Arabidopsis thaliana: one gene and its partners. The main gene of each other region encodes a partner of the protein of the gene in region 2 in a complex. Each region holds a gene or a part of one and is shown on either strand. Other genes may lie near its edges. The genes, in order: SYN2, SYN3 and SYN4.

Evidence for each region.
Region 1: SYN3 (region 2) and SYN2 share a complex: the UniProt entries of both Arabidopsis thaliana proteins name them as parts of the cohesin complex.
Region 3: SYN3 (region 2) and SYN4 share a complex: the UniProt entries of both Arabidopsis thaliana proteins name them as parts of the cohesin complex.

Annotation. Positions count from the first base shown.
Region 1 is NC_003076.8:16,355,122-16,365,604, forward strand, and holds SYN2 (Rad21/Rec8-like family protein), read right to left. Parts: upstream 8,758-10,483; 5' UTR 8,602-8,757; coding exon 8,478-8,601; intron 8,334-8,477; exon of another isoform or gene 7,940-8,333; coding exon 7,666-7,939; intron 7,586-7,665; coding exon 7,548-7,585; intron 7,470-7,547; coding exon 7,423-7,469; intron 7,266-7,422; coding exon 7,195-7,265; intron 7,123-7,194; coding exon 6,365-7,122; intron 6,286-6,364; coding exon 6,174-6,285; intron 6,089-6,173; coding exon 5,952-6,088; intron 5,880-5,951; coding exon 5,296-5,879; intron 5,184-5,295; coding exon 5,147-5,183; intron 4,925-5,146; coding exon 4,903-4,924; coding exon of another isoform or gene 4,899-4,902; exon of another isoform or gene 4,816-4,898; coding exon 4,683-4,815; intron 4,586-4,682; coding exon 4,490-4,585; 3' UTR 4,210-4,489; downstream 1-4,209. Other genes in the region: AT5G40830 (S-adenosyl-L-methionine-dependent methyltransferases superfamily protein), read right to left, coding at 1-734. UniProt on the Arabidopsis thaliana protein: May be involved in sister chromatid cohesion during mitosis.
Region 2 is NC_003074.8:21,993,059-22,003,541, reverse strand, and holds SYN3 (Rad21/Rec8-like family protein), read right to left. Parts: upstream 6,491-10,483; 5' UTR 6,281-6,490; coding exon 6,157-6,280; intron 5,924-6,156; coding exon 5,665-5,923; intron 5,580-5,664; coding exon 5,533-5,579; intron 5,444-5,532; coding exon 5,394-5,443; intron 5,286-5,393; coding exon 5,251-5,285; intron 5,136-5,250; coding exon 4,651-5,135; intron 4,559-4,650; coding exon 4,453-4,558; intron 4,376-4,452; coding exon 4,239-4,375; intron 4,141-4,238; coding exon 3,629-4,140; intron 3,539-3,628; coding exon 3,453-3,538; intron 3,368-3,452; coding exon 3,229-3,367; intron 3,148-3,228; coding exon 3,046-3,147; 3' UTR 2,805-3,045; downstream 1-2,804. Other genes in the region: AT3G59570 (Ypt/Rab-GAP domain of gyp1p superfamily protein), read left to right, coding at 78-278, 1,491-1,955, 2,069-2,152, 2,339-2,512; AT3G59540 (Ribosomal L38e protein family), read left to right, coding at 6,800-6,802, 7,135-7,318, 7,623-7,645; LAP3 (Calcium-dependent phosphotriesterase superfamily protein), read right to left, coding at 8,378-8,759, 8,833-9,000, 9,085-9,369, 9,456-9,832. UniProt on the Arabidopsis thaliana protein: May be involved in sister chromatid cohesion during mitosis.
Region 3 is NC_003076.8:5,311,793-5,322,275, reverse strand, and holds the start of SYN4 (sister chromatid cohesion 1 protein 4), read right to left. Parts: upstream 6,080-10,483; 5' UTR 5,776-6,079; intron 5,519-5,775; 5' UTR 5,494-5,518; coding exon 5,370-5,493; intron 5,196-5,369; coding exon 4,934-5,195; intron 4,835-4,933; coding exon 4,737-4,834; intron 4,652-4,736; coding exon 4,602-4,651; intron 4,236-4,601; coding exon 4,183-4,235; intron 3,730-4,182; coding exon 3,630-3,729; intron 3,415-3,629; coding exon 2,946-3,414; intron 2,867-2,945; coding exon 2,447-2,866; intron 2,344-2,446; coding exon 2,205-2,343; intron 1,904-2,204; coding exon 1,767-1,903; intron 1,667-1,766; coding exon 798-1,666; intron 723-797; coding exon 689-722; intron 468-688; coding exon 356-467; intron 253-355; coding exon 123-252; intron 45-122; coding exon 1-44. Other genes in the region: ELF9 (RNA binding (RRM/RBD/RNP motifs) family protein), read right to left, coding at 6,780-6,906, 7,008-7,099, 7,210-7,290, 7,377-7,453, 8,056-8,136, 8,261-8,363, 8,469-8,555, 8,648-8,686 and 5 more. UniProt on the Arabidopsis thaliana protein: Involved in sister chromatid and centromere cohesion during mitosis.

The DNA of each region.
Region 1 (10,483 bases), on a different chromosome or scaffold from region 2:
TTAACCTTAACAAACCTATCTTTCTCATGACTAGTAGCTAGATCAAAGCAACCAACACAATCCCGGCTCAGTTTCTTACCTTTCAAGCATTCGAAACTTTTGCAGCCAAGACCGCTCCAGTTAACACTACTGTTACCAACTGGTCTCCACAAAGAATCAGGAAACAAAGCGAGACCTGGTTTATGCACCGTTTTAGCCAAACATCGACGGCGTGGCAACGGTTCACAAGCACGGAGAATCAACTTCTGAGCTAGGCTCCAATCATCAGGACATTTTTCAAAGACATTATACGACATATACTGAGATAACAAATCTAGAGACATTTCACAGGAATGTCCAACAGATGCAACCATTTGTGTGATACCAGTACGAGAATCTTTACCAAGAGGAAGCTGATGTTGTTGAAGGAAAAGTTTAAGCTCTTGTGGAACTTCTTGTTGCGAGAGATCGAGAGATTCATAACCAATAATCTGTTTCTCCATCTGAGTGAGTGTGTGGTGGGAGGAATCGATTTCTCTGAGGATGAGTGAGAGATGTTGAGAAACCAAAGAGACATTGTTGGAATGAAGAGGGTGTGGCGTGTGGGATTGAGACCGAGACGAGAAGGCGTATAGTGCAAAGAGATTTGTAGTGACTATAGAGAAAAGCATAAGGAGGTTGATAGCTGAAGAAAAAAGCGTTGATCGCTTGAATCTTGCGGTTCCATCGCCAATCTTCAGCGATACAGATCCCATACTTCAATGTAGCTTATATTGCATCAATTCCAAATTTGTTCCATATTGTTGAACCTATGATCGGATCTGCAAATTTCAAACATGAAACGAAAGAGCATCAAATAGGTTTCTGAAACAATGACAAAAGAGAAGAACTATCCTGAGGATCCTTGAAATTTTTGTACATACATAAATAGTCCAATAACAGATGATCGAAACAATCAAGAGAAGATCTCAATTTCTGGGATTTAGTAACGAGTATCAACAGATCTTACCAAATCAAAAAAGAGGAATCACGATGAATATAAAAAGCAATATGAGATTAATAGCATCGAAAAACAAAGAAAGAAGAGAGACTTACGAGAGATCCAGTGACCTACTCTGATTCAGCCGATGAACATATCGAAAAGTATAGAAAAGTATAGAAAAGCTACTGAGTGACGAGTGACGAGTGACGAGGACAGAATATCGCCGACAAACGAATAATAAAGTAATTTATTATATTCTCTTTTTTTTTTTTTGGCAAATTATATTTCCATTCAAATTTATAATTTGATGTTATTTTGATGTCATTTAATCCTACAACATATAAATATATTAGTTATTTTATACATTATTTTTATATATAGCCATTTAAAACATCCTACTATATTATTTGAGAATTATATTTTAAATATAACTTTAATTTTTGTAAGTAATTACATAAGTATGCCATTAGAAATAAAATTTTAAAAATTAAATTAATTTATCTCTTTAAAAATTAAAAAATCAAATACTAATTTAATTAATTAAATTAATTAAAAAACGAAAAACATTATTAATTTCCAAAAATAATAGCCAATCAAAATCAACATATAAGATTTGATATCTAAATTTTAATTAATTTAATTTAATTAGAAAAACGAAATACATTATTAATTTCCAAAAAAGTAACCAATTAAAATCAACAAACTATATTTGGTATCTAAATTATCATATTAATTTTTATTAATTATTATAGTTCACTTCTCATCTTTATATGATTCTATTTTTACGAAAAAATAATATCATCATTATAAAAAAATAATTAGAGTTTTTTTCGCATATGCCATAATTTGAATTTTTAAAAACGAATATAAACTGTTCAATACATGAAATAATATTATAACGGGTGAAAAATAGATTTAAGAAAACTTTCTACTGAGTAACGGGACATAAATTTGAAATATTTATATTTAATTTCATACATATTATATTGAAAATTTATAATCTTATATACGACAATAGTTAATAACATATTAGATGTGATTCAATTTTTAATACAAGCTGGAAAATCCTACAATTGACGGGTTTAGATCGATATTAATACAAGATGGTATACTACATGTGAAACTCTTAAATTAACAATCAAACTACAAGTGTATAATCTTAAACACCAAACAATATAGATAATATCAACAAAACATATACAGTTCACAGTTTACTATACATTTAAAATCAAATAAAATAATATCATATATTTTTAAATCATCTTTACAATAAAAAATTTTAGTTTAACTAAAATATAAGCATACTTGCGGTATACTGCAGATAATCTCTAGATTATAGGACTTATTGGATCTAAAGACGGGTCATCAAAGATTTCCTAAACTGAAGCAAAATATACTGAATATTCAAATATCTATCTGTTACCAAATTATAAACAAATAAGTCAATTTAATATTTTATATATGTAATCAATTAAATCTTAATCACATAAAATTAGAACAAAAAAAGTATTCAACAATTAAAAAATTATCAAATCTCTGTGTTATATAAGTTTTGATACTATATTTGAATAAAGTGTAATATACCTTTTTAATTTGTATTCTTTAACTAATTTAAGCTAACTAATATATTTGCTTATCTTATATCTATCAAAACCGACTATCGTTTCTTATCTCTATAGTATTTTTGCAAGACTTTTTTGGTGGATTTGGATAAAAATGCATTCGGGTCATATGGTACATTCCCCTATTAAATAAATATGGTGCACTCCTATATTATTAGCTAAAATATTTAAATTATAATTCAGAGTCATATCATTAATAAAACTAATATTAATAAAATAAATGACTTTTTGGCAAGACGGATTTGGAGGGACGGGTTTTTGAATCAACATTAATAAAAAAGTAAAATATAAATAATCCACCGTTTTAATATGGGTTAAATCTTTAATTTATTATTTTTTAAGACCACTAATATTAAACATATCAAATCATCCTAATTTAGAAAAAATTATATAAAACCAAAAATGTTATGTGGTAGGTATAATGTTACTATATATAAAATTAAACTATAAAATATAAATGTATTAGAGAATGATACAATTGGCAAAACTTTTATATATAAAAAATAATTCTAAGATTTTAAAAATTACTACTTTAAAAAAAAATCATGGGACGGGTAAAGAAATTACAGAACGTGTTTTATTTTAGAATTGAGTTATATGGTGGATGTATTTGAATCAATATTTATAAAATTTTAAAATATTATTAATATGCTGTTTTAATAGGGGTCAAAACTTCAGTTTTTTTAACAATTGTCTTATGAATTCGTGGTATAGCGTTACTTAATAACAATTATAAACTGTAAAATATAAATATATTGTAAAAATAAAATTTGCAAGTTTTAATATATATTACTTTTAAAAATAAATCGTTCCGCGGTATACCGCGGGTTAAAATCTAGTCCTACTATATTATTTGGGAAGTCCAATTTAAAATATAACCTTAACTTTCTAACTAATTACATGACAACGTCATTAAAAAAATCTAATCAAGAACAAAATCGTTTCACGTCATTAAAATTAGCAAAGTCATTTAATAATAATATCCATCTCTTAATTATGAGGCTTATTGGATCTAAATACGGATCACATGCCAATTACCGAATAGTCATATCATAAATAAGATTAATAAAATAAATTGCTTTTTGGCAAAACGGATTTGAAGGGATAGATTTTTGATTCAATATTAATAAAAACTTAAAATATCATTAATCTACCGCTTTAATACGGGTTAAATTTTTAATTTATTATTTTTTAAGACCACCAATATTAGACATATCAAAATTATTTTTTTAGAAAAAATTGTATAAAACCAAAAATGTTATGTGGTATAATGTTATTATATATAAAGTTAAACTATAAAATATAAATGACTTAGAGAATAATACAACTTGTATACTTTTATATATAATAAATAATTATTAAATTTTAGAAATTAATATTTTTAAAAAACAAATTACGAGACGGATAAAAAAATTACAGAATAAATTATATTTTGGATTTTGAAATGGTGTTATATGATGAATATGTTTGAATCAATATTTTATAAATACATATATTTTGCAAATTTTGATATATACTACTTTAAAAAAAAAAATCATCCCGCAATATACCGCGAGTTAAAATCTAGTGAACTAAATATTTATAAACGTTTGAAATATATAAATTCGTTGATCAAAATAGATGTAGCGTTATCAGTCCTTAACGAAACTCTGGCACCCGTTATCACATGTTAACAATTCTGCTAGTCGTTAAAACAATCTATAGCATGGCTAAGGACTCTTTAAAAACTTAAAAACTTGATAAGACACATATACTTTAGATCGTCAATTATTCTTACTAAAAATTAACTTAAAAGAAAAACTAAAAATAGCTATTTTGTTAGAAGATACTAAAAGCTAACAACATTAATCTGAAACCTAACTGAAGAAATCTGAGGAAAATCTTAAGTGAAGAAAATATCCATTTTTCAACAAGCTTTTTGTGGTCTGGAAACACGCATGAGAAAAACATCACTATATGGATGATTTTGCTTCACTTCCACGTATCCTTTGGTCTTCAACACCTGCAAAATCAAATTCAGAGAGTTTCTCCATCTTAAGTCTTTCATGGAGACAGATAAAACGGTGAAGACATGTGCTTGTAAAAAAATTGAGAAATACCAAAGTCTCGTAGAAGAGTCTTGCGCTTTCCTTCTGAGTTCTTCCTCTACACAGTTGCAACAAACTCACCTTCTCTTCTTCTTCTCTTTCCCTCTGTTCCAAAAACGTCTTTTCCAAGAATTTCGCCACATTCCTGTACAATCCAGCGTCAGAAAACCAGGATAATCATCTGAATGTAAGCGAATCGAAGCTGTTGATACCGAAAGTGTGAGTCTGTTACCTTGTTCTTGAGGACCATGTCTCTGCAAATCAAAATATACATGGTAAGGACGCAGCACGATGATCGACATGCAACAAGAACAATTTGATAAGATTTGGATTCCAAATAAGTTGCGTATATTTCGATGGTTGAAACTTTCACTCAAAGCTACATATAATTTCAGAAACTTAATAGATTCTTGTCTACTAAATCAATAAAAGCCTGAGCACTCATGAGACCTACAAAAATTCAGAATGCGTTTTACCTTGTTGTAAGTCCTGTCTTTCATCTGCATTCACCTGCTGAAGCAGAAACAAAAAAAAAAAATGCTCAGTCTTGCAATTAAATAAGATAGGCTAAAAGAACTATAAAAACCTTTTTAACTACTATCAGAAGGATGCAACACAGCAGTACCTCATCGTTCATTAAAATCGTATCAAGATCTCTATTTTCCACATAATACACAGACGGGTGCTCCTCAAAGGAAGTGAAGGGACTTGCAGGTCTGGATTTTTTATAACAGGTCCCAGGGTCCTTGAAAAATCTTTTCGACATTGATTCCCTCACCGGCGTTTCAGGTGCAATCTCTACTTGCTCAGAGACTACTGGTGTTTCTGGAGCAATCACTGTTTGCTCTGATGTCCTCACGGGTGTTTCTGGAGCAATAACTGAAGGCTTCACAGGTGTCTCTGCGGCATTTTCTGTTTGATGAGCAGTTCCAGAAGTTGTAGAACTTGCTCCCATCTCAACCGAAACCACGTTACTATTTCCGGCTGTCACTTTCAGCCCAGCGAGAGCAGCAGCCTGAGGAGTCTCCATAATTTCTTGAGTATTCTCAGTCTGATCTGAAGATAAAATAACCCCAGGAGATCTGACAGTGTCAAGAGAAGACTTTTCCTTATGTCTAGCGATTTTAGTATCTTTAGGGGTTCCTGTGGTTGCCCAGTTTTTAAGCTTGATGGGTTGACAAAAAAGCGACTGGAGGTCCGAAGAACCATCTGCGGGATTACAACAATCAGCAAACACAACAATACAATACGATATACAGCGGATTACCAGGTTTTACTTACACTGAATCAAAGGTTCCAAAAAACTTCGAAAAGGATTGGCAAAACGTTTGGTTCTCCTCTCAGGACAGTCAGTATGAGGTACGTTTCTCCGTTTTGCAAGCAATTTACTTGAGTCCTCTATCATTTCCTTCATAACTCTACAATAACAAAAGAACCAAATATTACATACTTGTACGGAACTCTGCAGACGAATCTAATCCAGGTTACAAATAGTTCTCTTACTTGTTCGGAATTATCACTTCATCATCTATCAGACATTTTCTTTTCCGTGAAACTCGAGAAGACTCCTTCGCAGCCGGCGTAGGGATGATCGAGAACTGTGGACTTGTTCCCCCTGTAATTCAAAGTATAGGTTAACACGCTAAAAACGTAACTAAAAGTATATTAAGCTCATATTTCAATAAAGTGTGCACCTTCAGAAATTTTCAACCGGGAAGGTGTTTTGGGAGTGACAGTAACTGGAGTATCTGTTGCATTAAATTCGCTACTAGGGTCTTTAGAAACAGTCATGTCAGAGAGAAAACCTTTCTCGGAACCATGGAGATTCACTTCAGAAGTTTCAGATTGCTCTTTATGAGACCCATGAAACAATTCAAAGTCTGCCATTTCCGCTTCATTATGGTCTCGACATTTTTCTACGCCTTCTTGCAAGTCTCTGGAACCAGTCACAGATACTGGTTCTGGTTTTTCTAGAGTACTCATCTCAGGGATCTCCTTCTCCCCATTAATTCTTGTGGCACCAGAAGGTTGATCCTCAATCCCATGAATTGCTTCAGGTATTCCGCATTCAGATGGGAGGGACCTGTCATGCTGCATCTCTTCGCAACTTGTTTTCTTCGAGGTTTTCTCCGATTCTAAATTCTCTGTGTGACCATCTCTGTGTAGATTATCTCCTGAGGATTCATGAGAATCCACTAGTCTCTGCACAATGGTACATATGGTTTCTCTAACTGTATCTTCTTCTTGAGCTATTCGGATATCTTCGGACATTTGCGGTTCCAGAAGAATGTCATCTGATTCTGGATCCTCTCTATGCCTAGATGCATTTTGATGATCTCTGGATGGTTCATTAGAATCCAGTGGTTCCGCTTCAACGACTCTGACGGATGCTTCTTCAGTGGTATCTCTGACATTTTCTGCATCCAATTCCATATCATGAGCAAAACTCTCACTGCAACAACAAACAGAAAATTAGGATTGTGTTTGCCGATTACATGTATGGAACCAAAAATATCAGACTCACTGTTTATTTTCATTATGATTGGTAGAGAAAGTCTCATGAAACGTAAACAGAAGGTCCTCTTCCATGTCAAACTGCAACTCCACAAAGCATTATCTTTATTACATATATAGATTCACGAAATTACCAGAATTAAAAGGAATGGAACGAAGAAACAATGTCAATATACGCTGTAGTAGCTTAGAACCTAACAGTTACACACTCAGTAATCTATAAGGTGAGAAACCATACCCTTTCCATCGAATACATGTCCATGCGCTCTGTTTCCTGACTTCCATCTGTTTTATCGCAGTGCAGTGGTATTAGTAAATGAACAGTGATGAGATTCCCTTTAAACGACTTTAGTGATAAGATACCTTTAAGTGTAATATCTTCATGCGGCTTAACATTTCCCCTGAGAAAGAAGAAACAAAAGAGTTGAGACTATGAAAGAATCTCTGCGAAATACATTCTATATAGAAATAACAAGCATACCCATGAAAATCCTCCAGAACCCCAAGATCAAAAGCATCTAGTTCAAATCTCTCAGGTAAAGCAATGGAAAAACACTCGATAGATGCAGGCAATGATACACCTGTCTTTTCTCTGTTCCTTTCCTTAGCCACAAACTCCTTTACACCGATCAACGCTTTATTGCAATCATCGAACAAAAAGTCAACCTTCTTGGAATATATCCTTACAACACCAAGAAGAAGATACGCCAAAACTCTGTATGTCAACGCATCTAACTCTTTTTGCAAGATTTGATCTGTGCATCCAAAAAAAAAACCCCCGAAGAATTACACATCAGAAACGTCATTAAAGTAAAAAATACTGAAAATGTCAAATGTTGTAGAAAAAAAGTCCATCTTTCTCGAGGATACAAGTACTTTAGAGATCAAGCAAACTAAGCGTTGACCAGCAGCTTTCTGATACTAAGTGAGTAAGATGAAATGTTTAGATTTAAGTTTATATGAGAAAAGGCAGATTGATACTACTAAGGATTCGATACTATTCAGACTTAAAATAAATCACTGAACTCAATCTCTGAGGTTCACTCAGGCATTTTGTCAAACAACTGATGAACATAAACAAGTAACATTGAAAGACCCCAACAAAATCAACAGTGATCTCTAATTAACGCTGCCAATGGATACAAACGAAACCCTAAAATTCTATTCCAGCTAAAAAATCCACTAAAGCTGCAAAGTTTCACTCAAACAATCACTTTTCCAATCGCCGGAGAAAAATCTCTAACTAGAACAGAGAGAAGAAGAAGAAGAATGTGAAGGAGGAGAAAGACAAACCAACGGAAGAAGGAATATGAGTAGCTTTGACTTGAGATTTCTTAAGCTTTTTGAAGAAATAGGCAGCGACCCAAATAGCTCCTAAAGGTCCTTTTCTCGATACTAGACAATGCGAGTAAAACATTTTTGAGTGTGAAGGTTTACCAGATTCTGGGTTTTAGACAAAGGTTAGTTTTTTTTAAGAGAGCAGCGAGAGAGAGAGAGAGAGCGAGCAACTTCGTAAAATAGTGAAGCGAGGGAGAGAAGAAATTGAGGAGAAGGAAACGGTCAAGCGGTGTACGGAACAAGCTTCTTACTAAACCGATTAACTTTTTTTCTTTTAATTTTAATTTTAGTTTTTTTTTTTCTTGTTAAGTCACGCTTAATCTGTTTATTTTCAAGTCGTTTTAGAGTAATTAAACTTTTTAAAGTCTATTGACAAGTTATGTAGTTTTGGAAATTGAAAATGTTTTGAATTAGGTGTCATAAATTTAAATTTTCCTAATTAGACGGTGACCAGAAAATCACACCTTCTTAATTATGCATTTTTTTTTAATTGATACTTCCTTCTCTGTTGATCAAAAAAAAAAAAAAAAAACCTTCTCCTTTTTAATTGTGCAATTTCCTATTTTTCCATAAGAATAGAAAAAATAATTTTGGAGGGAGTGATAGTCTGATAGTATTAGATAATTTATAATTTATTTAATTAATTTTGGATAAACAAAATATATATATATATATACAAGTTAATTTTTTGAATAGGAAAAAAAAAAACATTGCTGTTAAAAATTAATCAACGAAGATAACAATTGAATTGAAATATGCTAATGCTGATTATTGACTTCATATTTATATTTACCTTTTCTAAATTCTACAGAAAAAGAAGTAAATAAATAATATAATACTACCACACTAAAAGATAACGACTAGTTTGATGGAAATGTGAGCTGTCTCACTCCTTCACGCATCGTTAAGAGCGTTTAAACGTTTATAACTGCGCACAGTCATTTTGTATAACACGTGTCCGGTTAAAAGTCTACGTGGCGTTTAAGTGACAGCGACATCTCATAGACCATTGGTCCGACGTGGCATTACGTTGCGAATGGGCCTGAATAGAATAAAATTATGCCCAATAAAAAGTCTCTCGACCTAACTCTTAAAAGCCCAATAATTTGATCAATTCTTATATAAGGGCCTGACTGGTTTAAATACAGCGGGTGCGGTTACGGTTGCGCAAGTTTGCGGAAACGGCCGGTTGCGGTTTTAAGCGTTATCAAGCCTTTTAAACGACTGGTTAAGCGTTTGATAATGGGTGCGTTTTCGGGAGTTTTATGACCGGTAAACCAGCAAGTGTGATAGTAATTAAATAAAAAACCAAAATAAATATAATATATTACTATTAAAAGAAAGAAAAATACAATATATTATTATGATAAATTGATAATATTAGAAAAATTAAACATGCTTAATAATTAAAACCATAAATAAAACATTAAATTTAAAATAAATAAATTTTGTAAGAAAAAGTTTAATACTTTATGCATTTGGTACATACCAAAAATTGCATCAAGTAGTGTGATAAACTATAAATAACGTTGAACTCGCGGGTTTTCCGGATTGCCTCTATACATATGATAAAGTTTCTTCAAGATATCCAAACGATTTTTAACACATCTCCAACTCAAATTTTTCCCAAACTGGTCGTTAATATTCTTAAGAATATTTTCTTTTTGAACATCACTTAGAAATCTGATTTTGGGATCTTTGGAATCTTCCGTTAAATATTGATTAGGTTTTTTTTAATAAGAATAAGATATATAGGGTTTGGGTAGAAGACATAATTATTTTAATTAATTAAAAAAAAAAAATAACCTAACTGCTACCGCCCGCAACCGCAAATGCTTGCGGGAATGAGCTTTTGAAATCTGGCGATTTTGAACGGTGTAAAGCAGTATCTAGCGGTTTCTATGATTGATGTCAATCGCTAACAATCGCTAGCACCCGCAAATACAGCGTTTGCGAGTGAC
Region 2 (10,483 bases):
TTAGTTTTCCCCTACCAGCAAGTGACAAAGGCTGTGGTGTAATATGATGTTCTTTTGCTATGTGGTTATTACTGTAGCGTGCTAATTTCCAGATGGAGGGACCAACTGGAGTAATGGATCAATTGCAATCACTATGGCGTATATTGCAACTCACAGATAAAGAAATGTTTTCACACCTATCACGTATTGGTGCTGAAAGCCTTCACTTTGCGTTCCGGATGCTGTTAGTGTTGTTTCGACGAGAGTTGTCTTTTAACAAGGCTCTGAGGATGTGGGAGGTTGGTAATTCTTCTGCTGTTTGCTTTGTGTTGCCAGTTTCTTGTTCCTTTATCTTATAACCCACAAAGTAGTTAAATAGTTGTGATAGGTTTCTTGCGGTGAGCAGAGTAGAAAGTTGGAAATTTTTCCTTACCTACAAATTTTGACTTTGATTTAGCTGTTTAAATTATTGTATTAAGATTAGTTAGGGCTTGATTGGTTCTCCCTCTTTCACCCGCAAATGCTACGTTTGCGGGTGGTAGCGGTTGTTAGCGATTGGCACCAATCATAGAAACCGCTAAATACCGCTTTGGACCGCTCGAAATCGCCGGATTTCAAAAGCTCCTTTCCGCAAGCGTTTGCGGTTGCGGGCGGTAGCGGTTAGGTTAGAAAAAAATAATTCTTTTTCTAATTAATTAAAATAATTTATTTTTTAATTAATTAAAATAATTTTGGCTTCCACCCTAATCACTATTATAATATATTGTAACCTTATTCTCTCAATTATGACATTCACCCAAACTGATGAAAATCAAAATCAATAATCAAACTTAAGTATCATCTATCTTTTTATCCATTCATTAGCTAGTATAATTTTTTAAGTATTTCATTGCATCGTTGTTTTTTTATTTTGTATTCTTTTGAGTTTTTTGATTGAATGCATGTTTCGATTTGTATCACACTACTTGATACAATTTTTGGTGATGTACCAAATACATAAAGGATTAAGTTTTTTTCTTACAAAATTTATTTATTTTTGAATTTAGAGTTTTATTTATGGTTTTAATTATTAAGCATGTTCAACTTTTCTAATATTATCAATTTATCATAATAATATATTGTATTTTTATTTCTTTTTATAGTAATATATTATATTTATTTTGGTTATTTTTATTTAATTACTATTGCACCCGCTGGTTTACCAGTCATAAAACTCTCGCAAACGCACCCATTATCAAACGCTCAACCAGTCGTTGAAAACGCTTGATATCGTTTGAAACCGCAACCGTCCGTTTCCGCAAACTCCCGCAACCGCAGCCGCCGCGTTTAAACCAGTCAGGCCCTTACTAGAATTTGTGTCTCACTCATGATAACAAATGGATTTTAGTTATGTAGTGGTTGCAAGAGACTGGTAGAAAAGAGAATCTTGGATTTCTTATTATACATATGTGCCTTCACGTACCAGATTCAAAACTCTTGCATATGTATTCATGGATCTTTATCTGTTGTAGATGATGTGGGCTGCTGATTTTGATGAGTCTTTTGCTGAAACTTTAGAGAAGGATTGCTTGAAGCCGTTGGTTGTTCAGCTTCCAAAACGATCTGGAGTTGATATGGGGGACCATAAAATAGATGATGGAAATGGCACAACTACAAATAGTGAATCAACTTCAAAGAGCGACCGGACTTCAAAGAGCAGTCTGTTGTCCAAGAGCGGTCTACTGCCAGAAAGTGGTCCATTGCCAAAAACTGGTCCGCTGTCTGATGATTTTGGGATGAAGCCAGCAGGTTCATACAGTTTATGTGGCTTGACAAGAAATTTATGGTCTAGGAATGAAAGAACCCATGCCTCTTGTGTAGTTTCATCCTGTGGGAAAGGAGATGACCCTCTTCCAGTCTTTTGTGTGGCGGCTATTCTAATCATGAATCGGCATAAAATCATGAAAGAAACTCGCTCGATCGATGACATGATAAAGGTAGGATGTTTTTCACTGCATTTGTGCATGTTGGGCTTTGTTTCTTTGCTGAATACTACTGTTGTACTTTTTATACTACGATAAAACTTCTTACTGATTTTAGATATTTTCAGATTTGTAATGACAAGCTGCTTGCAATTAGAGTGAGAAGATGCATACGCACAGCCATAAAACTTCGTAAGAAATACTTGTACAAGGTTAGATGCTCAACAAGTTGATTCTTCTTTTCTTCTTCTTCGAAATTCCTTCATATGAATTGAAACGTTATATCTCAGTGCATTCATTTACTAGCGTATCCTTTCATACTTAGGGATAAAGTATACATAGTTTTGTTGCATCTGGCAATATTCCATCCTCATATCGAACTGCATACCTTTTATTAGAATCAGGTAATCAAGATTGAGAGCCACATTCAGTCTCAGAATCATAAACACCATGAGATACAGAATCAAACCGCGATGGAGAACCAAATCCCAGAAGAGATTACAAGTCATGATGAGAACTGTAGCCAAAGACCAAGTTTATGCAATGGTCCTGTCATGCCCCTTAGAGAATGATGACTGATGAGTACGATAGATTCCACCTATAATTTATAATATTATTTCTAGATTTCCATAGTCTGCTAAGATATACAAAAGAAGAACAATTGTAGAATAGGTAGGTCGTCTTTAGATTTTGAAGAAGGTTTTGCTATAACATTTATGAGGTTATCTATGTATACTCCGTTAATTTATGTGATCGATATCTTTGATTCCATCGGTACACATGTTGAGGCTTGAGAGCATCTACACATGTTGAGGCTTGAGAGCATCTAGCTCCATAATTCACTCCATCACAACACGTGCTAGTCTTTCATTTCCAGAATCATAGAGAATCTCAAAAACTTGTTTTTTTACAACATTGTCAAATTTGAACTCAAGTGAAGTATTGGCTAATGATGGAATTTAGACGTTTGTCCATCTCTTAGGGTGAAGCTTTACTTGTACACAATGTAATAAAACCAGGGCTCAAAAAATTAAGAATTGACTACTTCCTCGTCTAGCTTCAATGTTAATAATATACATAAGTAAGTTTATTAAGCATTGTTTATTCACGTTTGAACCTTAGAAAAAAGGGCAGGCATCAACTTCAAAGCGATATCTCCGTATGGTCGGTCCTGTTGCATATCTATAAGTCCCCTAGACTTCAAAACCTGCAAATTCAAAAACAACTCGTCTAAGCTCGAGGCACTACAGAGATACAAAGAAAAACATATGTACAGAGAATCACTCACCAGTGTCTCGAAGAACATTCGAGCAGCTAGCTTCCGTGTCTTTCCTGCCAAGATCTCGCTCAAACTTAGATCTCCAGAAGGATGGCTTGATGTGGTGGGACTACTTGAAGAACGTTGTTTAAGATACTGAGCCAAGGCTCTGCAATGTTCAATGAATGTTACAGGTTAGTAGAGAAACAGTAGGCTCTTAAATGAAATCCACATGGTTTTAGGAATATATATACCTTGCTCTCCCTGTCAAAGCAGCAGAATCTTGACTAGCTGGTGTTCCTACTGGGGAATTGCCACCTACCTCCAGGAAATAAAGTTCCTGTATGGCACATGCAAATGGTATTGCTATCAAGGTTAGCAACGCACCAAGAATGGTAAAAACAAAACACGCGAACATGCGAGAACAAACCTCGTCAGTCCTTTCAGAAACAGGTGAAAGCCCCAAATTTCTTTGGCCAGGCAAGTCCTCTGGAACTGTGGAAGTTGAAGGCTCTGTTCTATAAGATTCTGTCTCCCAATTTCCAGACTGAGTGGTGAAGTCATCGGTTCTAAAAGGTGAAGATCTTGGAGGTGGTGACGGCATGTACACCGGGAAACCACCATCCCTTAAATGTTCTATTCCCATGTCATCGTTATCAAATGTCCGAGGAGATTGTGCTTCTGTTGCTACAGACTCTGCATGCGCGGGTCGAGGACCTGCAGAGTCTAGGACATCTTCAGTTTGCTGCGCTGGAGATAGCTGAACTGTACTGTCTGGATTAGTAGAATCTGGAATTGGAGAGACCGGATTAATTTCTACTTCAGCTTCTCGAGTAGGAGATACAGATGCAGGTTCTGGTAAAGTTTCATCAGAAACAGCAAGATGTGGCTTTGAAGCTACATAGTCCTTTTCAAAGACATTGCGTAAATCATCTGAGAAGCCTGCAGGTTGACACATACAGGCAATAATCTTTCTTCAAAAACAAAGGGAAAAAGAAGGCAAAACTGTCGAAAATAAAATAATAATCAAAGAAAGTTACCAGTAAACAAGGGCTCATTGAAATTTTGATCCTTCCTTGACTGGTTATTCATTCTCCAAAACTTTAATTTGGATGAAGGCATCTTCTTTCTCTTACGTAGAGTATCACTAGGATCCTTAAGCCTTTCACTTATGTTCCTGTTCAAACTATTTGATCAGTACGGAACAGCTAATGAAATAATCAAAGCCACATGAAGCAACGGAAAAGTTATTACTTGTTGGTTAATACTGTGACACCATCAAAGTTCTTCCTCTTCCTTGCCCTTCTTTGTGGTTGGGGAGGAGGAGATGGCTGAAGCACCAGTTGAGGTGATGGATGCACTTAACATAAAGAAAAAAGTGTTTTAAATAGATAATAAGAGAGAGAATGTAGTGGTTAAGCTTCAAATTATCAGACTATGTTGCTAGCTCACCAAAATCTGCACGTTCTTCCTCAGAACCAGCAGCAGAACCTGGAGATCCTGAGCGAAGCTCAAACGCAGAATGCCTTCCAGAATTTAACATTTCTTCATCAATACTAGGGATAGTGGGTTCCTTCTCATTCAAAGTTTCATCCAATGACTCAGTGCGTTCAACTCTGACATCCTGTTGTTGTGCAGCAAATGATGGATGGGACGTGGGGCTTAGATCATGTGCAGCGTCACGCATTCTCTCAATCTCGGGAACAGTTCCAGGAGAAGTGGCATCGTTTCTCTCGGAATTGGGAATGCGCTCTTCTGTCAAGTTACTTTGTCTAGGATCCTGGACTTCAGTGAATTCCTCTGTGACGTTACGAGGACTATAGGTTCCAGTATCGAAAGCAATATTGGAGTCTCTTGGCTCATTGTCTGGTCCTGTCTCATGAGCCGTTTCAACATCAATTTCTCCGGTATGCCTACTCACAGGTTCTGTTGATTGGCTGCTCAAAGCAAAAAAATATGTAACAACATTATTAAAGAAGATCAACTAAACAGATAAGGAAGATTAAGAGCAAGGTGTAGTAAAGGAAATCAAAACTCTATGAAGAGCCTCACTCGACATCCATCGGGATAGATTCTGAGATGATGTCCTGTAAGAAAGGCATACAAACTTTCATTCAATAACAAGTGCTCGGAGACATGGGAAACAAGAAGTCAGAATCAACTTCAAAGTCATAAGAAGCAAGCAGTAATCTCACCTCGTCGAATGTTACAGCAACATAAGGATCAATGCCAGTAGGAATTTGATCTGAAAAATAAGCATCAACATCATAAACACCTCAAAATCATGGTATGCTGCATCTAGAACCAAGGAAAAAAAACACAGACAAAAGGTACCTGTGAGAGTGATATCTTCCTCACTCCGAGTATGATTATCGAATTCCCTAGAATTCACAAGAAAAGAATGTTAAAGATGAGTCAGGCTTTAGAACAGATAAAAACTCAAATAAAAGCAAGAAAGAAGAATACATGTCGAGAGTGTCATCTTCCAAGTCGAACTCGTCCAGATTTAGTGCTTGAGGCAAAGTAACAGACTCAGGCGGGGCCTGTCTGGCATCCTCAGGCAAGTTAACTTGAGTAGAAACGAAAGCCTTAGCTACCCAAGTATTAAGGAGATTCCAGTCATTGTAAAGATAATCCACTTTCTTTGAATATATTCGCACTACCCCAACTAGAAGGTGACTTGACGTTCTCAATGCCAATGGTACTTCAGGAAACATTATATTATCTGCAAAGCCAATTGCAAAATTCTCGAAAAGTCAGAAACTTTATTAAAGCAGAGAATTTCAATTACTACAATGGGTTATATATAAAAAACAAAATCGGAATTTGATGAATGCCCATGTAAAAATTCGTATTGCCTTTTTGAAATTTCGAATTGGATACAATCAAAGGGGATTCAAAAAAAAAAGAAGCGAACTTTGGATCAAAAAGCGAAAATTGAAGATAGGAAAGACGAACCAACAGTGTCGGGGATGTTGATGGAGGTGTACTGAGACTTCTTGAGGCGTTGGTGCACATGAGCGGCGCACCACACCGTCCCCAATGGACCCTTTCGAGCCAAAAGCGTATGTGAATAAAACATTTTAATTCCTTCGAACAAGGAGCCCTAAAGAAGCAGAGATGGAGATACTGAAGTTGATTTGAGAGAGAAGGATTATCGAATCGAAGGTGTTACATTATTTAGAGAAACCAATCAATTTTGAATAGGAAACTGCAGAGCGAAAGAGAGAGAGACGAAGCGGTAGGGTTTTGTGTGCTTTTGGAGAGAGGAAGAAGTGTTTTTTTAGTGGAGCGGGAAAAAACATTTTGTGGCGCTAATGTTGAAATCATAGGCAAATAGACGCAATGACTTAAATACCCTTTTCTTATTGGATCCGAGTTTTTTGAAATTTGCCAAACAAAACAACTTGGGCCACTAAACCCAATGGCCAACTTTTCGGATTAATGGGCCTAAGGGGTACATTTGGAAATTCGCGTATATGAGAGTCTAGGGTTTTCTTCATATTTAGGTTTCTCTATTTCTTTCAGACGCTGGGTTCTTGCTTTTGCTGTTTGTTCTCTTGAGTGGAAGAAAGTTGCAGCCACTAAATCAGATCCGACAATGGTAAAGTTTTCTTCGCCTCTCAGTTTTATTATTCTCAGGAGGATTATTGAAGCTAAATATTATTTGTTTGATTATCTGTTCTCACGACTAGGATTTTAGTAAAGTTTGCATGATTGAGCTGAAAGTAATCAATCTCTTATTGTGGGTTTCTTGTTTGGTTACTGATAATCTAGTAGATTAGAGTCTTCCTCGTAATTGACCCATTGGTTTAAGTTTCATCTTGAAATGTATGAAGTGTTCATCATGCAGTAACATTTGGGTCGAAGTCTTGTTGTGTGTTCTGTTTTGTTTTGTATTGATTGAAAATGGATGTTGGTTTGGATAATCTGCAGCCGAAGCAAATCCATGAGATCAAGGACTTCCTTTTGACGGCGAGAAGGAAGGATGCAAGGTCTGTGAAGATCAAGAGAAGCAAGGACATTGTGAAGTTCAAGGTCAGGTGCTCAAGGTACCTCTACACACTATGTGTCTTCGACCAAGAGAAGGCCGATAAGTTGAAGCAGTCTCTTCCTCCAGGTTCACTATCTCTCTCTCTCTCTCTCTGTGACTCAGCCCAAACATTACACACTTGAAACCTCTTATCTCATAACATTTGTTAGATTGGATAGATGTTCCTAGCTTTGAGTAATTCATCACTTGAAAGTTCTAGTGTCATAATATTGTTGGATTTTGGTTTTTGAATTCGAATAGTCTTGTGGTTAATCTACTTTAATTCAGACACTTTTAATTGGCATGTTTAGGTCACAAGTTATTTTTGGTTGGTCCATGAACGCATGCGTCTATCTCTATCTAAGTTGAATTTGCCAATTGTTTATTTCAGGTTTGAGTGTGCAAGACCTTTGAAGATCTTATGAAATCAGGATCTATCATGGTTTTATATACCCTTGTCTTAGATGATTTTGTTTTTTCCCTTTCTGCTGTCTTTTGAATGACTATGATTCAGACTTCCGTTGAGTTTCTTTCTTATAACTTCAAGACTAAATTATGAGTTGGATTTGTATTTTTTTTTGCTATCAACTTGGTTAGTAATATATATGGCCCCAACAGTTTGGAGTTTTGGATAGTTGTGCTTTGAGAAGAAAGCAGACACCACAGATTTCATAAAATGTTCATTGCTATGTGATGCCAAACAAACTACAGAAAAAGTTACTGAAAAAAGAGTAAAACGTCGTAATGGAGATGATTGTAACGTCATCATTTTGGAGAAAAAGCAGTCGTTATTTTTCCGTTACCTCTCTGTATTCTCTTTATCTTCAACCTTCCAACACTTTCGAGACTTTCTCTATTGCATACTCTTGTTTTCCAAGGCAATTCTTCATTGCATACTCTTGTTTTCTATTTCGCGGGAGTCGAAGAAGACTGGGCGATGGCTCAAGTTATGAAGCCTTCCATAGGACGTGAACCAAACAAAAAAAAAAAGAGACTCAAGAAAGAAAGAAAGAGAATTTCATGAGGAATCTAAGGTCACACATAATATCAACAAAAGACAAACCGGTCCAAAGGAACTTGAATCAAAACGAAGATAATTAAGTTACAGAGAGATGATTTAGTTCAGGAACTACACAACAAAGTCCTTCATTGATTCATTGTCAAAGGATAAGGTAGAGTGGCAATGTGGTTATGAGCCACTGTTCCAATCCAAAGCTTCATTACCTTCCCTTGTCTATCCTCGAGCACCTCCAGGACTTTACCTTCCTCGTCGAATCTCGATATCACAGTGTACATTCTCATCCCCATCGTTTTCGCAAGCAGCTTCATCGGTATTGGCAACCGAAAGTAGATGCTTCTTATCCAAGGGTTGTTTGTAAGAACCTCTTGTGCCGGTGTTCTGCAACAATCAATTGCAACCCAAAACTGACCCTCTTCATTTATTCTTACATTGTCTGGGAATCCCGGGAGATCTGCCACCACCTCGACTTCACCCATCTTTGGACCCTCCAGCCAGTACTTCACCAATCTGTCATACACATAATGATGAAGAGAAATGAATGATAGATACAGCTATATAAACACAAAGTTGAGGGTCATACCTGCAATTGGTTGTTTCGGTGAAGAGGAGGAAAGATTGGTCTTTAGAGAGTTGAATTCCATTGGGAAAAGCCAAACCCTCCAGCACAATGTGTGTTGTTTTGGTAGGTGGGTCATATCTTAGAAGCCTTCCTGTTGATTCTCCTTCCAGTAATATAAAGAAATGATTCCTACAAAATACAAGTATAATTTCTATATCATACAATTTACGGTAGGAATTGACATACAAAGCAAGAATAAGAGAGTTGTCTTACGCTCTGTCATATCTTTTGCTGGTGTCAGTGAAGAAGATGGAGCCATTTCTATGGATGTCAAGGTCATTGGCAAAGAGTATAGGCTTTCCTTCCACATGAGTAGCTAAAGGCGTAGCAATCCCTCCTTCAGGACCAACCACAAGTAGACCATAGTAAGCGTCTGCAATATACAAATTTCCTGTCTCTTTATGAAATCTCAGTCCAAGAGGCCTCCCACACAGCTTCTCGTGCTTCCATTGCTTGTTTGTTGTTGAATCCACACCTCTCACACAAGCTTCCTCTGACCTAATTCTCATGAACACACATCAATAAGAAAAACTGAAACAAAACTCTCTGCACAAAAAAGAAGTGATGAATATGTAATCTCTTACCATTTTGATGTTACCACCGAAAATGTCTCCCATCCGATTGCTTCACCCATCCATCTAACCACTCTTCCATCAGCCAACCCTGTGTATGGACCACGACCTAAACTATCAAACTCTAATGACTCTGGACCAAAGACTTGGTCCACGAACTCCAGTTTCCCATGATTACCCAGTCGACTAAGGTTGTCTCTAGGCCAGCTTCCCATGACTTCCTTATATGGAGCAACCTCATGCTTCACGGGTTTGAACTCACGACCCCCGATTGGACTCATGTGAAAGGGGTCGATTGCTATGAAAAGTACAGATAAAGCAATGATACAGAGGATCGGATGATGAGTCATCATTGATTCATATGTACCATGCTGGCCTTTCTTCTCCATTTAAAAGTGCTTAGAGGTGGACCAGAAAGTAAGATCAGATTCACCTGATCAATGTACAAATTATATAAGCAATGTAAAACATTGTGGGTGCAGAGAAATGCAGATCTTGTGAATAAAATTGGGTTGAAAGTAGGTTCAATGGAAACAAACAACTAGTCAAAAGTTGATCTAAGTTAGACTACTCTGATACCAAATACAATTCTCATGACTCTATTTGAGATAGAGCTTCAAAATAATCATCTAACCAAAACTGCTCATAAATAAAAACTTGAAACTGTGAATCGGTGATTGTTCTACCCTTCTCTTACCTTCTCTTTTTGGAATATAAAACAAGGAAATGACAGAAGATGGAAACTAATAACAAAAGAAGACACTGCTCTAGTCCAAGAGACCTGCAGAAAACTTCATCTAATTACCTTGTGAACTTGAAAGAGTGCAAATAATATATCGTTCTGCTATTTCACCAATTCAATATATCAAAGAAAAACGAGTAATACAAGACTGTTGGTAGCATGCTTTCGTATTGAAATAAAGGAGAATGTCACAAATGAGGAAACATGTCTAGTGGACGGAATCTTTAGGTAAGACATGGGACCCTTTTGCAACTATACATCAACCACATGACAAAAGAATTGACTGTGTCATATTCAT
Region 3 (10,483 bases), on a different chromosome or scaffold from region 2:
GGCTTCCCTTGTTCGACTTGGATGTAATCTCTTGTTTTAAGAACCTGCAAAATTGGCAAAACAATAAGACAGATTCAAGATCAGAGTTTTTTTTTTAGTTTAGGGTTGTGTTATGGACATACCAGGGTTTCGAAAAACATTCTCGATGCTTCTTTACGGGTTTTCCCAGCTAAAAGTTTGTCTGCCACAAGAACATTCTTCCCATTCTCGGTTTCTTTATCAAATAACGTCTGGAGATACTTTGCCACAGCCCTAAAAGTAAAGAGAATCAGAAGCTTTCATAATTCAAGCCCATCACATCACGTCTCTCACATGATAGAAGCTAAAATCTGAGCAAGTCATAAACTGTACAGACCTAGTACGAGAAGACCATCCACTGTTTTCTAGAAGACGAGTTTCATCATCATATTGTATGTCATCCTCCTCATGATCTTCATCTACTTCATCATCATCGACGTTCAAAAATCCTGAAGACACGAATGCAAGAAATTAATAAGAAGAACCATTGAGAAATCATCGGGAATAGCACTAGCAGCATCTCGTATCCAAATTATGCTCCAAGTTTAAGCTTGTTGAGTCCAGTTTTGAACCAGGATATGATGACCAGAGTATCAGTCCCATTGATCAAATGAAGAGGATACAGACCATTTGGAAAAGAAAAGAATTGAAATTCGAAAAGGCTTAGAACCTGTGTCATGTGCATTTTCCATGGTATCCATTTCCTACACCATAAGATAACAAGAGAGTCAGGGACATGTCTTACTTGAATAAGGATATGACGCAACAAAGAAACTTACATCATTGTCTCCCATAAGACCATCACGAGAAGTATGCTCTCCATCTAATGCATTTTGCATAGACGCCTCCTCATTAGACATCTCATTATGCGGTTCGTATTTGTTATAAGACTCTGTCTCTGGATTCAACCCATCACTATTCGCTTCCACCAGAGGTTCATTGCAATTTTCCAAAGCCATGTTACTCAAATCACCAGCTTCTAGGCATCCAGTTTCAGTAGACCCAACTGTGTTATCGCATGGAGTCTGATCGTCTCTCCCAAGCTCGCTAACTTCAGCTGATGCATCCGTTTTCTCATCTTCATGTGGAAGTTCATCTTCAACTTTCAAGTCCATCTCATTGAAAATGGGGTTGATATCTGTATCGCCTTCAGCAATTTCAATAACGTCAGTGCAACTTTTTTCATTAGGATCCGCACAAACATCCTGCCCGCCTTCTCCATCATGGTTTTCATGGGATTCTTCAACCTGTAAATCCTCTACACGGTCGAGTTTTTCCTCAGACGGTATTTGACTGACATCGTCAATCACTACAAGATTTACTTCATCAGCAGCTCCATTGCCTTCCTTCAAAACCTCCAAGTCAGATTTTTCAGCAAGCTCATTATCATCTTTCAGCTCTTCCTGTTGGTTTATGGTTTGTTCCTCCTGCGGGTGAGTATGAGCCGTACCAGGTTGCTCCTCACAATCATTTGGGTGAGCTTGCGGATCAGAGCTTTCTTCCGTTTTATTTTCTTCCACGGCCGTAACAGAACATTCATTATCTTCCACCGCTCCAACAGAAGCATGACGGTCATCATTCTCAATTATCATGATTCCTCTTAGATCATACGGCTCAGTGTGCAGAGATACTAATTCCACTGACATACCTGAAAATCAGTGAAACATATTAGCTATATAACTGCAGATTATAAGAACAATCAACAGAACGTGTATAGAACGGTCTACATTTTAGTGTCATGAACTTACCAGTAAATATTGGCTCCTTAAAGAGTCCATCCTCCAAAGCCTGCCTTTGAAGCATTACGATTTCAGGAACGGTGCAAGGTGCCTTCTTTCGCACGCGCCGTATATCTTCAGTGTTTGTCAGTTGTTGACGTATAATGCTAAACAGAAAAGTAGGCAACATCAGAAGAAAACAAATACAAATTGAGATAAGGTAAAAAAATATCGCTCCTAGGTAATTAAAGGTGTGAAACTTAAAAGAAGACCAAACTCCAATTACAGTAAAGAAAAAATCAGTAGTCAAACGAATTCAAGATTCACATTAATTTACTTCTGACTCTAGCTGTCTTGAACCTAAGTAGCTAAAACAAGAACTTCTATGAAAGGTCCACTTGGAGCAGTGGAACAAAAAAACTAAGGTATAAGAAAATCAGATATAAGAAAACAGTAAGACAAACATACTCGCCATGCAAGACCATAGGGTCATCCATTAGAACCTTCCTCTTTGTGGCAGTAGAGCGGGGAGCAGATCGTAACCGTTTTGTAGTTGCTGGTTCAAGCACAGGGGTAGGCCTCATCTTCAGAAAGGATGACTTTCCAACTGAAAAAAAAAAAAAATTCAACGATAATTGATCCATAAAGCTAGCTCAAAGAGCAATAGAATGTATAAAAGAACAGACAGAGTATCCAAAATAAACTGATACCTAAGATAGAAGACAACAAATCATCGTCATCAGGGACAGAATCTGCAGTTCTCTTTGACTGAATCAGTCCAACTGACTCCACAGAGTTCAAACTTTCTGCAGTTAGTGTGCTCTCAGTAAAAGTGCGTTTTTTCCCAGTAATGTTATTATTCCCCGCATCATCATTACATGTGCCAGGGTCTTCTTTATCTGGTGTAGATTCAACCATGAAATCATTTCCATCCCCCTGTCTGTTAGGTACAGCTAATACCTTCTCAGGTGGAGGGAAATCAGAATCGGTAAATCCAGTCAAATTTCCCAACTGTTCATCAGTTTCGTGTGCATTATTCAGCTGCCCATCTGGTCTACTGTACGCTTGCTCATCTCCTTGTAAACTAGAATCTGTTTCCTGATTGACCTCAGTGGCAATGGCAAAATGATCTGGCAACAATAAAAATTATAAGCATAAGGCAGGCACTAAGATGTCGTATAAGGTTTGCAATTTTCTTTGCCAACAAACCTCGGTTCTCTTCTCCAGGGGTTTCAAGTGGAGGAACAGCATCGGGTTTATCAGGTACAACATTAGCTCCTGCCTCATTCATTACTTGACCAGGATCCTCCATCTCGGTGGTGATGTGAGAACAACATGGAGATGTAACATGTACATGCTCTGCCCTCTCCTCCTCCGGCTCATTTTGTGTGTTGACATTTTCATCTATCTGTGACTTATCTACCTCCACAGGAGTAACTGCTGATTCTGGGGCATTATATTCAGAAGACAGGTCTTCCCCACGTTTAGGCATCTCATTAGCATTCAGCTCCCCAGAGGACTTTATACCTTCTTCTGCATTCAGATCCTCTACGTCCATGTGATCATCGCATGCCATCTGCTCTCTCACACTAGACGAGTTTGGCACCTCAACTAATCCAGGAGTTTGAGGAGCTTGAGCATCTTCGATGAACTCATTATTCATAGCAAGATCTTCAACCTATCAAAAAGAGAGATTCACAATACTATCCAATAGTCTTACCAGAAAAGTAAGCCAATAAATCTGTGTAAACAAATTGTAAATTTGGAGTCTGTAACTGCAATGTACATTCAGACATAATGCAAAGTAAAATATATCACATTAAGCACTGTGACTCAGGTGACAATTATTAAGCAACTATAGGTATGCCCTCGTGCATTATGTATGGTACGCACCTGCTCTTCATTAAAATCCATGGGCATGGCTTCAGAGACTCCTTCCATCGAATCCTTTATCCCGGGTGCTGCCGCATCCAGATACGCGTTGTGATCAATACTATCAACAAATAGAATATCTTACATAAGTAAAACTTTTGATTGATAATTTGCACGTCCAAATTATGCACCAAAGGTCCACATCCAAGAAGGATAAGACTCACAGAATTGCAGTTCTAATTCACAATCCAATTACAGAACAAACACAAACTCAAGGTATGAATGTCATGGAACTTAAAAAGCATGGTTACAAAGCTTGAAACACACACATTCAAGCGCCAAAACGCAAAGCTTTTTATCATTCAGTCAACTCGAGATCTTCCCTAATGTGAGCATTTAAAATCTATGATAACAATCTGAAGTAGCGGTATGAAAATATAGAAAAGGTACTGAACAGCTCCAGAAAAGAAGATCAAGCTGACACTTCGATAGTTAATTTGAGAGGAACCATAGGGAAGCATAAAAGCAATTATGCTACAAAGAATATAGCCAAAGATAATGAACAAAAACTGACCCTGGAACTCCCTCATCGTCGGATCCAATAACATCCTTGTCCTGGAATACTGCCTGCACAACAAGAGAGGAATGATAAAAGATCACATCCAAAATAATAAGAGAGAAGTTCTGATTGCAAATATGCAAAGCTTCACTAGAAAAAGAAAACATCAACATTATCCTGACGCTACAACATGACTGCAACCTAACACTTCAAATTACAAGCTTTTCACGGTCTAGGACTCCGCAACTGGATACCAATCAGAGCTTCCAGCTGCTGCGTCTACCCAAACAGAGGAGAGAAAGAACCCAAAATCTAAAAGCAAATGAAATCTACAGATAACCTCTTCATATTCAGCTTTCTATATGGTTATCCTATTTCTTGTTCCAAAATGACTTGAACAAAGTAGAAAATATCTATTATAAACACAAAAATACCTCATCAAGATCCAAAGCAGCTTGAGAAGTGTCGCCATCACCAAATCGCTCTGCAAAAGTTTTAAAATGACTTTGCTTATCTACGGCATAGCTATCTACAAACTAAAGACAAGCAAATATGAAACAACCACTGACCATCTAATCCAAATTGTGACGTTGAGTATACAACGCCATCCATGGTATCCTGAAGGGTGATCTGCTCTTTTGTACTAACATGATGATCAACGTAATTACTGCTAGACAGGAAAACAAGGAGCAACAAATAAACAAATTATGCAAATTGGAGTAAGAGTGGAATACGAGTTTGAATGTTAAAACATAAAGAAACCAACCCCTGAAAGATCTCATTGTCTGGAAGCTCAAAGTCATCAAGATCAAATGTCTCTGGCAACGTAATAGAGTGATACGGCGCTGTAGATTCTTCAGGGGGTAGGTCAACAGCAGCAGAGCGAAAAGCTTGCTTTACCTTAAGCAATGCCTCACTGCAATCATCAAAGAGGTAATTCACCTTTCTCGAATATATACGCACAACACCAAGCAGAAGATGACTAGACAATCGCAATGCAATCGGAGCTTCCGGAAAGAGAATAGAATCTGCTCAGAAAAAGAAATTAGTTATATTAGGAAATATTTTAGATGAACTTGTTTAGCCACATAACAACTGAAAAAGAAGGAAACTTTAGCTTCTGCTAACCCTAGTGAGCACAACGAACTGAGACCTGAATCAGAGGTATTGTACACAAAAGCAAAAGGTAGCAAAATACTCACCAACGGAGACTCCAATATCAGTATCAGCGACCTGATTCTTTCGAAGCTTCCTCTCCAAATGGGCAGCAATCCATATTGTCCCAAGTGGCCCTTTCTTAGCTAATATAAACTGCGAATAAAACATTCCTCGTCCTCTATACCAAAAAACCCTAAAAAAATTCAACAAAAAGGAACCAACTTGTTAGAATTTCACCGTAACAAAATTGAGCTTCAAAAACTATTCAGATAACAAAATCCCTTTCTTCAGCCCCAAAGATACGTCTATAGAGAATCAAAAAAAGTTTCCAAATTTCGACAACAGAATCGAAATAGCTCAAACCGACAACAAAGTCTCGCAATTGCCACTGAGCAGAGACACTAGACTACTTCGGTAAGTAGAATAGAGAGCAAAGGGTAGATCAATTACCGTAGAATTGACCAAGCTCAAACAAGTCCAAAACAGCTCGATTTGAACAGAGTCCTCGCGGAAACCCTAATTCTCAGAAACTTGGAAAAAGAACACCCAATTTGGGTAAAAGCAGAATCTTAAAGACACAACTCTTTCTTCTTGGAGATTCAGACACAACAACAGCCAAGGAAAACAGTAAAATTTGTGGAAATTGCGATATGCAAAAAAAACTAAAAAGTTTCGAAATTTGGATCTTTGGTTGATTTTTGATTAAATGAGGGATTTGGTGCGGCAAAGAAACACATGTTCCGTGACATACGTCGTTCTCTCATTGGTTAAGAGATTAGCGGGTCCCGCATAGCTTTAGATTTAGATCATTTTTCAACAATTTTTGTTTTCGTCAACTAGCCCCAACAGTATTTAACTTCATTTAATTATTACTTGAAAATATTTTGGGTTTTTCCATTTTTTTCAAAATATTTCAACTCGGCGGCTTCTTTTGCCTCATTGCGGGAAATCTGAAAAAAATCGAAACTTTTTAATAAGAAAAACAGAAAAATAAAGATTCTGTTATTAGAGATCATCTGACAACATTCTGCTGTAAAAGTATGAAATTTAGGTCCAAACTACAATACAAAGTATTTTAAACAAATGATTGATAGAAACAAAAATTCATGTGATGGTGTCACACAAAAACTGCTAAGTATCATGATTTAACAAATAAGGAAAAAATATAGTGAAGCATAACTTTTAAATTCCGATTTTTCAAATTTCTAGAAGAAAATCGTATTACATAGTAGTAAAGGTTTTTAGTCAACGAATATCAAAATACACTTGCAAGTGCAGTCTTATTCGTTAATTTCACTACAGGTAATACTACTAGTACTAGATAAAACCGGTCCTCTGGGTTTGCGTTGGTCTGATTCAGATGTGTCTGTGCCTAGTGATTTACATCAGAAACCTGAGTTTCCCAGAATAATAATCCAAATCTTCCCAGCTTTAGATCATTGTGCTTTTGTTTTTTACTCAGCAGCTTCCAGTTCAGCTGCAAACTGATCTAACCGTTCCGCTTCCAAATCAAAATCCCTAACTGTAGCATGGTTCACTGATCCATCATCGAGGCTCGCATGTATCTGTCTCTTTGCATACCTGCATTCATCCAGAAACAGAAAGAAGTACATGTAAGCATCAGACTCAATACCGACTCTAATGGCAATTAGGCGGAAATGATGACTCAGGAGAGTTTGTACCATCGACCGTTCATTGCTTCTATACATTTCTGTGCATCTCTCCGATCCTTGAATCTTACAAGAACAACACCCTGTGGATGATGCTCACATACCTGTAAAGAAGAGATTCGATTGGTACTCCAAAATAATCTCAAGTTTTCCACAAAGCTATATGCAGCAAGCAAGACCACCAGCTTAAGATAAAAAGAAATCATATTATTACCTTCACTGAGTCGAACGGTCCATGCTTCAAACTCTCCTCTTTCACGTCTTCCTCTAACTCAGCAACCAGATCCTCATCAGCCTGCAAACAGAGTAAATGCTCAAAGCTATATCAGCTACTCTTAAAAATAGCAACATTTCTCATATTAACTATTGGACAAGACCTACCATCAACTCAGCTGGACTGAACATGTAGCGCAGAACAACCGTTGCAGGTATTGAGACCTTAGAATCATCTGTACCACCTACGTCAACAAAAGAGAGGAAATGTGATAAAATTTAGAATCCACTAGGAACAATCTCCAACTTCAACAACTAAAATGGTCATTTCTTTTGATTTTAATATGCTCAAAATCAACTAGGAATAATCAGAAATAGATAATATTGACATGACTATATGTTCCCTTTTGATCCATGCATCCGCAATGGCCACTGACCTAAATAAACATAGTAGGAGGAAAAAATGGCTCAATAACAGGAAACGCTCATCAGTTAAGATATCACAAGTCACCAGAAAGAATAAGAAAAGAATGATATGTCTGTAACCCCTATATCGTGTTTCTAAACTCTCGTCATTAAAAGGTTTCTTTCCAAAATTGATTAGGTTAAAAGTCTTTAGTGCAGTCTTTTTGCTAAGTAATGGTTAAGTTTAGAGAGTTCCACAAAGATCTGGTAAAGCACAGACAATATAGATACATCTTTTCCTAGTAAAAGAAATTATAATTTTAACAATAAACCTTCCTATGGTCGTAAGGAAATGAATCTCTAGCATCTCCTAGTATATTTCTCTATTATGCGTCTTTCTAGAGATAAGGTAAGTTTTTAGTACACGAAAGCGAAAACGTACCCCATCCAAGCAACTTTTGCTCGACCTTTTTAAGCTTCTTTTTCTTCTTGTTGTCGGTTTGCTTAGTTATAAATCTCTCCCCTGAGTAAAAAAAAAGTAAAGCCAATAAAAACCATAAGTAAAATATTGCCGAAACTAAAGCCACAGATGGGATGTTTTACATAACCGATAAGTTGTTATACAACAAATGTGCAATAGTATTAACCTTTCTGCTCGAACTTAGCTCGAGAAACTGACATGAGGAGCTTATCAGCAGGACGTAACGGAGCCCCGTCTAAGATTTTAATTGCCAGATCCACTGAGGGCTCCTAGTGAAAACAAAAACAAATACACATGAAGATGAAAAATAGACAAAGTTTAAAATCATAACCTTATGCATCCCATGAGGACAGAACTTCAAATATAGCCATTACCTTCATATAGGAGATAAGAGCATCGCCTTTTAATTTTCCTGTCGCCTTGTCACTGTATAGCTTTATGCGAGGCTTGCCAGTGTCATCCTGAATTGTTTACCAGATCCACATTGTTAGGGGATACTTACACAGGATTCCAAAATAAAACACAGGAAGAATCTTCAGATAGTGAGATTTACCTCCTTAATTATACCGCACTTAGAAAAAACTTCAGCTACCTGTAATGATATACCTACTATCAGTCCATTTAAAAGCTTCAGATATTCATAATGGTAGAAGAAGTATGACCACAACTTACTTCCTCGATGGTGACATCATCGGGCAACCCATTAACATAAATATGTGGGTTTACTTTTAACTCAAACCACGAATCTGGAGGCTTGTTTGGTTCCTGAAAATGAATTTGAAACTTAGAAACGTTTGCAGAAAATTTCATGAGGAATTGCAACTTTAGTTTCTTTGATTCATACAACACAAACAACCATTACTAGTTAATACAAAAAAATAGTAAAGGTATTCTGCTAGTCCCAATATAAGTATGATGTCTTAGAACAATTTGGTTTTTCTTTCCCCTTTACGATGTGCACATCAGTAAAAAAAGTAATTTACCCACTACAATTCAGCAGCTGAAGAAAAATCAAGACTCCACAATCAAGAAATCCAGTACTTACAGCTCGAGGTTGAGCTAAGTGAGACCAAACATGACGTAACATGTATGACCTCAAGGAAGAGAAATGAATCAAAGGTTAATTTACGAAACCGAAAGGAAGACAAAAGAAGAAGAAAGAAAAACCTTCTTTTCAGTTTCTGGCTCTGGTAGCTTTCTCTTGCCGTTACTGTTTATTTCAGCGGTTTCATCAGAGCCATCTTCTTCTTTCTTACCAGCCACGTCATCCTTAGAGGCATCCTTCTTATCAACAGAAGTATCAAGAATGTTAATTGTTGGAAATACTTCGTCTTCCTTAGCAAAGGTCATCTCTTCGAGTCCATACGGGTCAACGCTACCCAGTGGTGGATCGTCCTACAATAAACAGCATCATCAATTAGGTTATTAAAAAAGTTCTTACTTTCTCTTCCAAAAGATGCTCCTTAGGGAAAAACCAAAACCAGTAAAGAGAAAATAATACAATGAGTAGGCTAGTTAGGTTTCCTGGTAGTCAATTTTGATAAACACAGATAAAAATATTGGAGATAGTCAAATTAATTGAGAATTTCTTCAGAAAAGGTAAAGCCATGAGCCACCAAGCAAGATGACACACACAAATGATTCCACTCACGACTTGGAAGTCAGGTGGACACCTGAGCTCACTAAAATAGTTGAAACTGGGAAAGAATGGTTGATTTGGTGGACAAAACAAAGCCTTACCTGAGGAACCCATACTCTACGAGCTCTGTCCCATTTATATTTTGTTCCATCATCATCTGTGAACTCATCTTCGCCCTCAGGTGGTGAAGATGCCCTTTCATGATCATCTTCAACAAGCTCAGTACCAGAGACAGAACCATTTTTCAACCTTTCAGCCTCTGCTTCTGCGTCTTTAATCTCTCTCTGCCATTTCTCAAATTCATCCTCAGTACTAGCAGAGGCTACAATAACAACATACCGTGGTAAGCATGGTCGACACTTTTGCAAATTATAACATTGAAGAATTCATTTTCTACATAAATAACTAACCAGTATAATCTTGCTTCTCTTGCCTGGTTCCAGCATTAGATCCATTTATCAACCCAGATGAACCTGGTCAGATACCAAATAGTAAGTGCCCTGAATATGGGATACTAGAAAAAATACCAAGAATTCAATTATCTAGCAATGGTGAGAAGGATCTTACCTACAGCTGGATAGGCAATCTCAGCTCCGGATATCCTTGACATTAAATCGGGGATGGCAGAAAGTGGCTGCCATTCGCTTCTTCCGTCAGCCCAGACTAGAGTAGTTTCTAGTAGGTAACCATTCCTGAAATGGTCTGCCCAATCAAAGCAAACAAGTAAAGTACAGCGCTTAATAGCTCGTA